Neodiprion lecontei: one gene and its partner. The protein of the gene in region 1 interacts with the protein of each later gene in a pairwise test. Links are inferred from orthologs where the notes say so. Each region holds a gene or a part of one and is shown in the gene's direction. Other genes may lie near its edges. The genes, in order: ubiquitin conjugation factor E4 B and E3 ubiquitin-protein ligase CHIP.

What was found.
Region 2: the proteins of ubiquitin conjugation factor E4 B (region 1) and E3 ubiquitin-protein ligase CHIP interact in a two-hybrid assay, tested with the Caenorhabditis elegans proteins (2 studies listed by BioGRID). The link is inferred for Neodiprion lecontei from reciprocal best matches to the Caenorhabditis elegans genes ufd-2 and chn-1.

The regions. Positions count from the first base shown.
Region 1 is NC_060260.1:35,856,218-35,864,223, reverse strand, and holds ubiquitin conjugation factor E4 B, read left to right. Parts: upstream 1-1,959; 5' UTR 1,960-2,208; coding exon 2,209-2,232; intron 2,233-3,158; coding exon 3,159-3,449; intron 3,450-3,740; coding exon 3,741-4,166; intron 4,167-4,254; coding exon 4,255-5,621; intron 5,622-5,711; coding exon 5,712-5,859; intron 5,860-5,962; coding exon 5,963-6,649; intron 6,650-7,357; coding exon 7,358-7,679; intron 7,680-7,793; coding exon 7,794-7,858; 3' UTR 7,859-7,898; downstream 7,899-8,006. Other genes in the region: uncharacterized protein LOC107220803, read right to left, coding at 1-837, 944-1,069, 1,173-1,322. UniProt on the Caenorhabditis elegans protein: Acts as an E4 ubiquitin ligase mediating the assembly of polyubiquitin chains on substrates ubiquitinated by another E3 ubiquitin ligase. The elongation of preexisting ubiquitin chains preferentially targets ubiquitin 'Lys-29' and 'Lys-48' residues.
Region 2 is NC_060262.1:16,939,457-16,944,381, reverse strand, and holds the start of E3 ubiquitin-protein ligase CHIP, read left to right. Parts: upstream 1-1,894; 5' UTR 1,895-1,907; coding exon of another isoform or gene 1,908-1,928; 5' UTR 1,929-2,048; coding exon 2,049-2,165; exon of another isoform or gene 2,166-2,179; coding exon of another isoform or gene 2,180-2,218; intron 2,219-2,773; coding exon 2,774-2,972; intron 2,973-4,925.

The DNA.
Region 1 (8,006 bases):
TGGCCTGTACAAAGGCCAGCGTAGTTTGACGTACTGTTGCCACTGCTGAGGCGTTACATGTGTCGAGAGCAGGCCACACCATCTTCTACACACTTTGCCAGCCGACCATAAGCTCATGTCATCAAGATGAGAAAATACTGCGAAGAGAACTTCTGGCGGCAGCCTGTCCACCAGGCCAGGTTCATTTATTCGCTCATGTTCCAGATGTTTGTGATTGGAGAGCAAATCCAGTCTCTCGGATAAGCTGGGGGGGCGTGAAGGCTCCCCAATATCACCATGTATTTGAAAATTCCATCTGTACTGTCTATTCTGAACATCATTTCCAAAGTTCTCACCTTCTCCAAGTGGAACCAGGTCTTCTGGGCTGGGAAAATCATCTTCGGCAGGATCGTCTGCCCGGTTGTTTGGGATTTGAATGTTTGGAATTGGCGGTGGTGTATTTCTAAGATTATTTGGTGGGTTTGGTGGGTTAACGTTAACCGGGAACTGACATTGAGCTTGGTCATTGCTTATGTTATTTTGCACAAATGGCCGATTCATTTGCGGATTTGAACTTGAACTGCTTTGAGGCACCAGATTTTTCATATGTACACCAAGATTGATGCCTGTGCTACATCCGAGTGCATTGGGATGATTACATCTCAAAGCAGGAACATTTTGAAAGGGTGAATATGGTGATTGATTCAAATTCAATGCTGATATTGGGGCATTCTGATAATTTGCAGCTACTGGATTTGAATTCTGTGGAGAATTGTGTTGTTGCTGACTCGTGCGTCGCTCAGGGTTGTAATAAAGATCTGTAGGCTCGTCATTGCCAGAGTCTTCGTCGTCAGTTTTCTGTTAACAATAAGGGTGACGTCAAAATGATTCAATGATAATATTTCGCCATTTCCCACCTCACGTCACATAAAAGTAAAGAAATAGTTGTCATAGTAATACTGACCTCGCTAAATATCGGCACTTGAAGTAGCCCGATATCATCTGGGAATAAAAACGCGTGGCAGGTCGCACAAACAGGCTCTTCGAAACAAGGTCCGTAATACCCGTTGCAAATGTAACAAGTTGTTGTCTGCGAGATAAAAAGGAAAAATATTAGAGAATGCCCACCAGAATCCAATGTAGGACGCCTGACGAGCATTTGACAATGGAAAAAATTATTGAACCGAACTTACGGCAAACTGAAACTCCGGGTATGGTATATTTTCGATAGCGTCGAGATAATCATCCTCCAGGTCGGTATTCAGCGCTGAATCACTGCTGTCACTCGTTCTATCACAATTTTTGACGTGCCGAGAACTGGAAGCAAACTTTTCGCCAGCCATGTTTAACTGACTATTAAAAAACGATAGTAGGTCAACAGTACATCGCTTGCTGGCGCTTCTTGCATGTACTTCAGAATTTCCGCGCGCCTTTCAAACTACGGATTCTGATTTATCGACGCCCCAATTTTCACAAATGGACCTTCTCGAACTACGAATAATGACAAATAAGCACTATACTGATCTTAGAGAGATCCCGAGAATGCTTACAGCTGCTATATCAAATACATTTGCAAATTTCTAATATCTAAAATCGTTTTATCTGTTTTTGTCTACGTTTTTGGATTGGTGAATAAGGTGTTTTCAATTAAATTCTCGAGATGGCGCACGTTGACTGATTCTGGACCAGGGATAACCTTAGATCATATACTACTGGGGGTAGCTGCTCATGACGTCAACCGCGCGAAAACTGTGACCGTGGTGACGAGAAGGCAAGATTATGTATCCTCGGCTTACCCTGGATACTTCGTCTCTCTCACTCTGGATGTTATTGGGTAAAAGAAAACGTATCGGCCAACCATTTTGTAGAGCGAGAGAGACAGGTTGTACATGGCTTACGTGCTCTGTCTACTGCTCTATCCCCCCCCCCCCCCGCCCCGTCCGATTATGCTTTTTGTACACGCGCGGCTACTTCCAGTGGTACATGCTCTAAGGGGATAGCTCAGCTGTTTCGAACAATTGACGTTGTGTCCGTGAACTGTAAAGAATCGCTAATCTACCGTCTAAACGCAAACAGATGTGGAGTGACTGTCCGAATTTCTGACACATCTCAACAGCTACGGATACGGATTTTGCGAAGCAGAGATTTTGTACATTTATATAAGTAGTAATTAGATTACGGCCTACGAGGTGTAGAGCGCGTTTCACCGGGAATAGAAGAGATATCGCCATGAGCGAATTAAGTCAAGAAGAGGTGAGTCCGATATTACGCTAGTTAATTTATCAACGATGATCTCGTGAGTTCACTGGAAAGTAAGCAATCCAAAGGGTTAGGAGGGGACAGTAGAACCAACCGATGTCTCCGCCACAGATTTTGTCGACCTTAAAATGAATATAATAATAAATAATAACAATACAACCATTTCGATTCCCATTAGTTTTACTGCTGAATAGCTAATCATGATTTTCTGTTAAAAAATAACGGTATCAAGTGATACCACGATTGATCTTGTTTCTTAACACTCATCAAGTATGCAGGATCCTATAATTGTCACAAAAATGAGAGTCATTCGAAGACATGCTTGTTTGTTGTCAGTTTTTCATGCTTTTTTTTGTCTAGCTACAAGAGTACTTCGACCAGATTTAGAGTCTAGAATTAAAGTGTGTAATTCAGTTATGTTAATCACATGCTTTTCAAACATACAAAAATCAATCGTAAAACATTTGATTACTGTGTAATAACTTTGCTTTCTTGGTTGGAATAACTAAACAACAGAAGCTAAATATAGATCTGGCAAAGCAACTCTTGTTTACTTGGCTCCCAAAAAAAAAAATCTGCGCAATATTATTTCCTCTCCTTTGTCACGAACAAAGGATGACTGACCTGTATGTACAATACTACATGTTTGCCATACTTTGTGATTTACATTTAATTATAACTTGAAAGACACTGCATAGCTTTTTTTGTAAAGTAATGCCAAGTATAATGATACTGATTTTTACAGCAATCAGTGTTCATTGCTTTTTTTTGCAATTCGATTCTATAAACTAAACTTTGTTTGACTGTAACGTTAGCTTTTGTGTTTTGTTTCGATTTATTGCAATGACTGATCTGTCATTTATTTTTTTTTTTTTTTTTGACCAAAGTTCTATCAGGTATATGTGATAATTCTTTCTTAGATGAGGAAAAGGCGGTTAGCCCGCCTTGCAGGCCTGGAAACCAGTATTTCCACTAATAGTTCAAATAGTGGAACTGGATCCATTTCTCCTGGCACTCCGGGTCCCTCAAGATCGTCTTCTGGTCCAATAATGTCACCTCCAACACAGCAGTTACAGCATCCAGAACATCCTATGGAAGTTGAAGACAGCAGTGAAAAGCAGTGCAACACTTCTGGCGTCGATGTAGATTCTGGAATTGAAAATATGGAAGTAGAAGAATCTGATCGCAGAGAATTGGCACCACGCTCCAGGGTGTGTATTAGGATGCTCTGAAGAAAATGGACGTAATTCACTTAACAGACTAATATTTGTTTAGTGTAGTTCCATTTTTTTCCTTTCTTTGTTTACTAAGTGACTATAACATTACACAAAAAGTAAACTATTCGGCTCAGTGAGTAGAAAATCAGTATTCTTTTCAGTTCTTAGAAACCTAGTTAAGAAATGCAACCTTGGGATTTGAGAAGAACAGTACAATATTGTTGCGTTGGAAAATTGGAAACAAATGTGCGACATCAATCATATGAATCATTTTTACCTTAACAGACAACGAGTTCCAGTACAGAGGTAACAGTTGACCAAATTCACACAGTGGTCTCACGCGTCCTCTGTGTTTCATGGAAAGAATCTACGGAAGGTGCAATATTTCTTCCTCAAACAGCAGCTAATGCCTTGGAGCACGAACTCTCAGATGTTACTGATATTGCTAATCAGGCCCTGATGGAAGTGCTCTGCATGTTCTCTCGAGGCGAAGATCCACTGAAAGAAATAACATCGGATGCTTCTTCCGATCGAGAAGGCAGTCCCAGCAGCCAAGCAAGCCCTTTGCTGAGCCCTGTTGTTACTCTACCTTCCTGTCCTGTACCCACACTACCTCTGCCCACTGCTGGCAAGTCTCAGCAGCCAAAAAGTCTTATTTATTTATTTGAATGCTACTCCAGAGTTGCTGTAGAAGAACGGAATCATCCTAAGGTAAAATCCTATTTACAACTCTGAAATAAATTCGCTAAGCAATGAATCTGCCTTACACTTTCAATCTATTTGTGTTTCTAAATTGCAGAGATGTAGCACACCTCCGCTTTCTGAAGTTTTGGCCACACTGCGGGCTCAGTGTGTGCAACATGCAAGTTTAGTTCTACAAGGATTGGTTGGCATCTGCCAAAGTGTAATACCGTCAACGCCATCTCCGTCACTTCTCTATCCAGTGCTATCGCAAAACCTACCTAGAGGTTTCCTGCATGAACTTGTGGCTAGAACTCACTCTAATCCTCACGTGTTCACCAAGATTTTCACCCCGTTACTCCAAGGCTTCTTTCTCTCTATGCAGCAAGCAAGCCTGATTGGTAACACTCACCGCCGGCCAATCGAAGCCTTGGAAGAACTAATTGAGATACGCTGTGGATCCACTGGCAATATTCGTCCAATTTGTCAGTTGATAACGCACCAAACCCAGTTTTTACCTGACGTTTTGACGACTGCAGTTGGAAGAGAGCTTGCCAGAACATCATTCTTAGGGCCTTTCCTTTCCGTCTCCGTATTCGCGGAGGATCAGCCCAAGGTTGCGGAAAAATTTTTCAGCGGAAATCCTGCAACAGATAAGTCAATAAATTTAACTCTACAGCAGGAGCTTGAAAGCACTAGATCGTCGCTTCACAAAATGTTCCATGCAATTCTTGCAAATAGTAGTAGCTGCCGAGAAGCTACACTGGCGTATCTGGCAGCTCTTCTTCGACACAATGAAAAACGGGCTCAAATTCAAACAGAAGAATTTGCCCTTGCAGGAGATGGTTTTATGCTCAATTTGTTGTCAGTTCTCCAGATGCTTGCTGTCAAGATTAAGCTCAACACGATAGATACGCTGTATCCGTTTCATCCTTCTAGTTATGTTGAAATAAAAAATGATACCAGATTAAAGCTCAACTCACAGGAAGTGACAGAGTGGCTTGCGAGCTTGGAGTCAACGCACAAATGGACAGAGGCAAAGTTTCCAACTCAATGCTGGTTTTTAACTCTTCACTGTCATCATCTGGCGCTTTTGCCAGCTTTGCAAAAATATCAAAGAAGATTGAGAGCTCTCAGGGAGCTACAGAAGATGCTGGATGAACTACAGGCAACTGAGCCGCAGTGGAAAGATGCTCCTTTTGCAGCGCACAACAAGGAGTTAATGAAACGATGGAAACAACAGTTGAAACGACTCGGTAGATCAAAATCTTCCGCAGATGCTGGATTGATAGACCAAGTTCTTTTAAGGCGATCTCTTCACTTTTATACGTCTGTTGCCGACGTTCTGCTCGGTCTTCTTACCCAGAGACCTGCTGGTAGTGAATTACCTACCCTTCCGCTTCCTCAACACGTTCCACCTCAATTTACTGCCTTACCTGAATGGTATGTCGAAGACATTGCAGAATTTTTGCTCTTTGCACTTCAGTAAGTTTCCAATTTTGTCTATCTACCCCTGTCTTGTCTTGGGGAAATTTCTTCATTCACTGTTTTTTTTTTTTTGTTTTTTCACAATAGATTCAGCCCCACAGTAGTGGCCAATAATATGGATAATTCGCTGATTACATGGCTGCTAGTTGTGATATGTACGCCACACTGTATTCGCAATCCATACTTAATTGCTAAAATTATTGAAGTACTCTTTGTGATCAACCCCAGTGTTCAGGTACGCTCTAAGAGCTCTACCTCTTTATTACTTTATTATTGAACAAAAAAGTGCATATCTCGGTAAGGATGAAATATCGGTAAAAGTTTTTATTGTTTAACAGGGGAGAACAGAAACTCTACATGACCAAGTGATGGCACACGAGATATCAAAGACTTTCTTGGCATCTTACCTTATGAAGTTTTATACAGATGTAGAAACAACTGGTTCCAGCTCGGAATTCTATGACAAGTTTTCGATCCGTTACCATATTAGTTTGATATTGAAATCCATGTGGGAGAGTCCTGTTCATAGAGCTTCCATCGTCAACGAAAGTAGAAGTGGAAAGCAATTTGTCAAGTTTATAAATATGCTGATGAATGACACAACGTTTTTATTGGACGAAAGTTTGGAATCTTTAAAACGAATTCATGAAGTGCAGGAACTTATGTCCAACACTGCAGCATGGGCTGCACTACCTCAAGATCAGCAACAATCTAGATCAAGACAATTAACGGCCGACGAACGTCAGGCGAGATCTTACTTAACTCTTGCAAAGGAAACTGTTGCCATGTTCCATTACTTGACTGTAGATATCACAGAACCATTTTTACGTCCTGAATTGGTCGGTAGACTTAGTGCCATGTTGAACTTTAATTTGCAACAGCTTTGTGGGCCGAAGTGTAAAAATCTAAAAGTGAAAAAACCAGAAAAATATGGATGGGAACCAAGAACATTGTTAAGTCAATTAGCCGATATATACTTGCATCTAGACTGTGATAATTTTGCTGCTGCTCTGGCTGGGGATGAGGTAAGAGATACGACTACATATATACAACTTTGTTTTGGAATTGGGCAAATAAACTTTTCAACGTTTCTATTACAATGGTTAGCTTTCAGTAACTCTGGCCTTCTCTCACTAACATTTACCACCTGGAGTAAAAAAGTGAAAAAATTAATTTATTAACTCATTAACACTACCCTAACAACACAAAACAGTGCAGAAACGATACCGATATATATATTTAATGTCCGTGCTCCTAGGATAGCGAATGTCGTATTCATACACTTGACAGAAGAGCAGTTACAGCGAAGTAATGCAATTATCTTTCTTCTTTTTTGTATTGTTTGGTAAATCTTTCATCATATACATATTCAAAACCCAATAGAAACTGTTTGTTTCTCATTTTAATTGAATGAGAAAAACAGTGAGTCACCTGAAACATCTCTTCAAAATTTGTAATACAGCAAGGACTACCAATGTTAAATATTCTAATTTCAAAGATAGGAATGAATTGTTAAATAACAATTAATCGTAAAATATTTAATTCTTCGAAAGTATTATATGAAGTTTAATTTGAAGTTGATTAATATATTTGGCTATGCAGCAAACTTATAAATTAGAGACCTTAAAAATATTCGATACATCAGACTTCTGCTATTCACAATATGTGCAAGTCAATCGATATATCTAATGAATGTGACAGTTCACTCACCATTTGTGTTGAATATATTACAGCGCTCATTCTGCAAAGAGCTATTTAATGATGCTGCGGGTAGAATGGAAAGGACTGCAATTAAGACTGTGACTGAAATTGAGCGGTTTCGAGCTCTAGCAGAACGGGCAGCTGCTATTGCAAGGGATAATCAGGCACGTGATGAGGATTATGGGGATGCGCCTGAAGAATTTCGTGATCCTCTCATGGACACGCTTATGGAAGAGCCTGTCAAACTTCCATCTGGTATCGTCATGGACAGAGCAGTGATCATTCGTCACCTACTCAATAGCGCTACAGATCCATTTAGCCGTCAGCCACTTAGTGAAGACATGCTGACACCTGGTCAGTAAAACGTCATCAGTCATGTCCTGAAAAAATAATGATCAAACATTTATTAATTATCATATTTTGTAATTAATGTGGCAATAAATAATTATTCACTCGTAATTTTCACAGTCCTGGACTTAAAAGAAAGGATCTCTGCATGGAAACAGGAGAAGAAAAAGTCTGCAAACATGTAAGTGCTACTAAGAACGTGATGAGTTATTTAAAATTTGAAGAGGAATTTGAAGAGGAATTTGAAGAGAAAAAAAAGACAGAAACGAAAAGATAGAAAAAAAACTTTGTCACATTATTCGTGCAAATAAATACCAGGTGGTGCATTCCATC
Region 2 (4,925 bases), on another chromosome or scaffold:
GCATTCACGGCGTAAGTCGAAAAAAACGTAAGTCGGGGTGCACGTTTTATACAACTGTATAATGTACATATATATATATATATATATATATGTATAAATACTCACCAGAGATAATCATGTATATACCTCATAGAAAACCTCTGAAGAAGAATGAAAAATACTCTTTATTTTGGAAATGCAAAATGTTCGAGCACAGTCGTCTGCCGACACAAAGATTTTTTTTTCTCGCGCACAGTCACTATCCGTAGACTGAGCGAATAATCGAATACAATGTAATGCACTGACGGAAAATAAACATGACCATTCAAGTTTGCGACAAGGAGAAGCGGAGTTGGGCGGGGGGGGGGGGGGGGGGGGGGCGACCGATGGCGTAACTTCATAAAACGAGACCACAACGATTCGTACCCGTTTTGTTTCAATCGTATTTTTCGAACATATTTCCAAATATTTACAAATGGTGAATGGTGATATTTATGAAATCATTTTGAAAATACTTCGTGCTGTGTAAAATTAATATTGCGCGATATGTTTTAATGTATATGGGACATTCTTTTACAACCAAACACCTTTGTGACCGACACATTTTTGATTCAGCTGAAATTTTTTTTGACGAGTTCTATACCGAAAAAATAGGGATACGTATTCGAGGATTTTTTATTTCACATATTTCGTAAAATAGAGGGGATCGAAAATTTGATAATTTGGTGTTTTTTGGCTTGGAAGACTCACTTTCAAAAATTCATAACGCCGGTTCTATTTGAGCTGGAAAGTTCGTTTTTTTCATCTCAAAGCTAATTAAATGAATTTTATTACAACAATTCTTTCATTAACGATTATTCCGATGTTTATACTGTTATAAACAATTAATATGTTCCGATCGATTTTTAAAAATTGGCTCAACCTCGTAGCGAGTTCTTAGCACAACCATCGTATTCTACGTCAAATTTTTTATCCATAACGTATTTTGAATTGATGGAGAATACGATGGTCGTGCTGAGAACTCGCTACGAGGTGAAGGCAATTGCTAAAAATCGATTTAAACATATTAATTATTTATAACAATATAAATTTCGGAATAATCGTAAATGAAACAATTGTTGCATTAAAATTCATTTTATAAGCTTTGGGTTCAAAAAACGAACTTTTCAGCTCAAACTGAACCGGCGTTATGAATTTTTGAAAGTGAGTCTTCCAAGCCAAAAAACACCAAATTATCAAATTTTCGATCCCCTCTATGTTACGAAATATGTAAAATAAAAAAATCCTCGAATACGTATCCCTATTTTTTCGATATAGAACCCGTGAAAAAATTTTAAGCTACATCAAAATTGTGTCGGTCGATTTTTATCTAAATCTCTCCGATTCGTCAAAGAATGTCCCATATTCAAGGGTGTTTCACGGAACAATAAATTGAATTTGCTATATTCAGCGTAAAACTATCAAAATAATCAGTTCGGTCGTGATGCAATCGCTACACACATGACGTCATCATTTGCATGCAAAATTCGGGTCAATCCTGTTGGTATGGTTACCGACTCAGATTCAGGCCTCTTACCGACCGTGTTTTGTCTAATATTGTGTTGCGCTACTCCCCGGTGGAGAGTACCACCTTCGAATGGTTTGGAACCGAGGAAACTTACGCAGAGGGCGCTTCGTTCGATTACAACTTTCAGATCCAGGTCAGCGGCACCATAAGATCACAAGAAGCCACGATCTACTTCATGAGCAGCGCTGCTGCTGCGTAAACTTACCAGACTGATGCTAGTGAAAACTTGTAAGTTACTAAACCACTGCTGCTTTTTACTGCTCATGAAATAGCACCCTTAAGCAACGGCGGCTGGGTGGAGCTGATAATGCTGATGGCCGTGACTTATGGTTTGTTACCGTGGTTTGTATGGATAACCAAAATGGAAGCGAACGTACTTGAGGTTATACAACAATGACAGATTTAATTCAAATCCAGTTTTATTTCCCTTAAAAGAACCGCGCATAGCACTATAGTGTATTAAAAATTGAGCATCTGCCCTATTTCTGACATATCGAGCGACATGAGTAAGATGTATTCAACAACTAACCTTTCTGATAAGGAGTTGAAAGAACAGGGGAACCGCTTGTTCAATTTGCACAAATATGAGGATGCAGCCAGTTGTTATACAAAAGCAATCGTAGGTATTGTTCGATGACTAAAAGCAAGAGATATTGGATTATTATATCACGTGTACGTATTTTCGTACGCCTTCATATTTAGAAGGATCCCACACACACCAGCTGATGATAACTATATATGACTAACTTTTGATGAACTGGTGTTCATAGCATTGATATAATAATACAATTGGAGAAAAAATTATTATTCCGTTGCTCTAGAATTGTCTAACATTAGATATATCATAATGAAGCGGAACGTGTTCATATTTTGCAAATTTAGCTACCATAAAATCATTCTGATCATAAGAGTGATTTTTTGTTCAGGGTTTTATTTTAATGTTGCAAACTTGAACCTTGTGACTTTTGAATACATGTGCAGTTTTGTATTAGTGGAATAACCTGATTTAGGATCAAGTGGATGACGAAGTTCTTATGCCACAGTTAATTGTGCGCTTTGTGCTGCGTGATGTGCAGAGGATTCTTCCAAAACATAGAGGTGTACAATAGTCACCACAAATGCTAACATTTTATCGTGACCATTGGTTCAGTTTTCGACTGGAGTCTCCACCTGAATGAAGGTTCACATCAGTGCTCAAAGACAATTATTCACTATATTTTGTTATAGATCAAAAATCCAACTCAAGCTACATATTTCACAAATCGTGCCTTGTGCCACCTCAAACTCAAACGATGGGACTCGTCCTGTCAAGACTGTCGAAGAGCTCTTGATATAGATCCCTGTCTAGTCAAGGGTCATTTTTTCCTAGGCCAAGCACTTCTTGAACTGGAACTATTTGACGAAGCTGTCAAGCATCTTCAGAGAGGTAACAGCTCATATTCGTTTTCAAAATTATGTACCCTAAGAATATTTAAATTATGATTGTTGAATTGAAGACTAAGCACAATTGACTAGCGTGTAAATGAACTCTTGAGCCATGCGTAATTTTTATCTCTAAAGATTCATGACTGTTACACAGAAATCGACCTATTATACATGTAGGTAATTGTACATCCCGAATCTTGCACAGTAAATTAACTTGCAGAGTCAATTAGCTATTCGGAAGCCTGTTTACTGAAACTATTTTAAAAAACTTAATCTCATAATAAATATTCCGTTCAGTACCTTCATCCTCCTTATAAAAACTGAAAAAAAAAATTACTGCAATCCTTTTTTTACGGCAATGTGTTCTGGTTGTGTCAACCCTTTGATGTACAAGATTTCCTTGTACGCTAGCCCGAGTTATATATTCCTACTGTACTTTTCTTTCCTCAGTTTTCAGTCGATTTTTTTTGAGCCTTATCATTATGTTTGCTAGATATGTCTACCTGATGTTTGGGATGTTTGCTATTTTCTGTAGATCTTGGACCACTTACAGATGGTCAATGGCTTATTTTTTACACAATTTCCCAGACTGTTGTTCGATATTATATCATAGGTTGTATGAGTCCATAATAAAGTTACTTCATCATATCATTTGCAATCTTGATTATGGTCGTGTAGTGATCCGTGGTCATCGTCTGCAATACCAACGAAGATCGAGTCACATAGAAGCGTACGGCTTATGGGCCGCTTGAAGCAAAACTTTCCACGACTCGTAAATCCGTAAGATGGCTCTACCGTCGGTCGACAGTAGAGAGTTAGCACGATCACCCCAACTCGCCAGTCGGAGCCAACACACCGACACTGTTCGCATTAGTATAGAGCGCTGTACGTGAGCCACACAAGCAAAGGCGCCACTAGCGACACCTAGCTGTTGGGGGGATAGCTCGTCCGAGCACCCCAACTTTTCTTGCTTCAAATAGCCTGCAGGCCGTACGCTTCTATGGGACTCAATCTTCGTTGGTAATACTGCTGCTGTTATTTCTTTGGTATTGTCTCTTTTAACATACAGGGTGAGTCAGTTAAAACGGCCAGAATGGGAGGAGCTCAGTTGACGGATCAGGCCATACCCCTTAGCGAATCTGGAGCGAGTCAATTGAAATACCGAGAATGGGAGGAGCTTTGTTGACGGATTAGGCCATAGCCCGCGTGTTGATATCAAAGTAAAGTTTGCAGTCTGCGTACAGGTATTCAGTGGTAATACGAAATAAAGTCACGATATGACACCAAGTGAGGGAATAAACTCTTATTATGATCCGTCACTTGTTGTCATATCGTTACTTTATTTCGTATTACCACTGAATATCTGTACGCAGACTGCAAACTTTACTTTGATATCAACACGCGGGCTACGGCCTAATCCGTCAACAAAGCTCCTCCCATTCTCGGTGTTTCAATTGATTCGCTCCAAATTGGCTAAGAGGTACGGCCTGATCCGTCAACTGAGCTCCTCCCATTCTGGCCGTTTTAACTGACTCACCCTGTATATGTGATCTATACATGTACTGCTTGTTTCAGTCTCGTGTATTGGTGTAATAACCGCTGATGTGTATCCATGCTCAAGCACCATGTTTCAGTAATCTTCCTTCCTTCCCAGATCTCGCTGTTTTTGCAGATTTATATGTCTGCTAGCTGGTGGCTCAAGGCTACAAAAAATTGAGAAAATCTGAATAAATTCATGTAGTTTAAAGAATCCTCGGTCAGTCAGCGATGTTCTGGGACACCTACTGAATATGTAAAAATGATGAGTAGCGTGCAAAATCTTAGGAAAAGCTGAAAATTTGTATACTGGTGTATTGAAGCATTAGGGATACACATCCACTTGTTAGTCACTCTAATTCCGGGACCCGACCTATTCAGTCAGCATTTTGATGATGCCCGAAAATAGGCTACACCC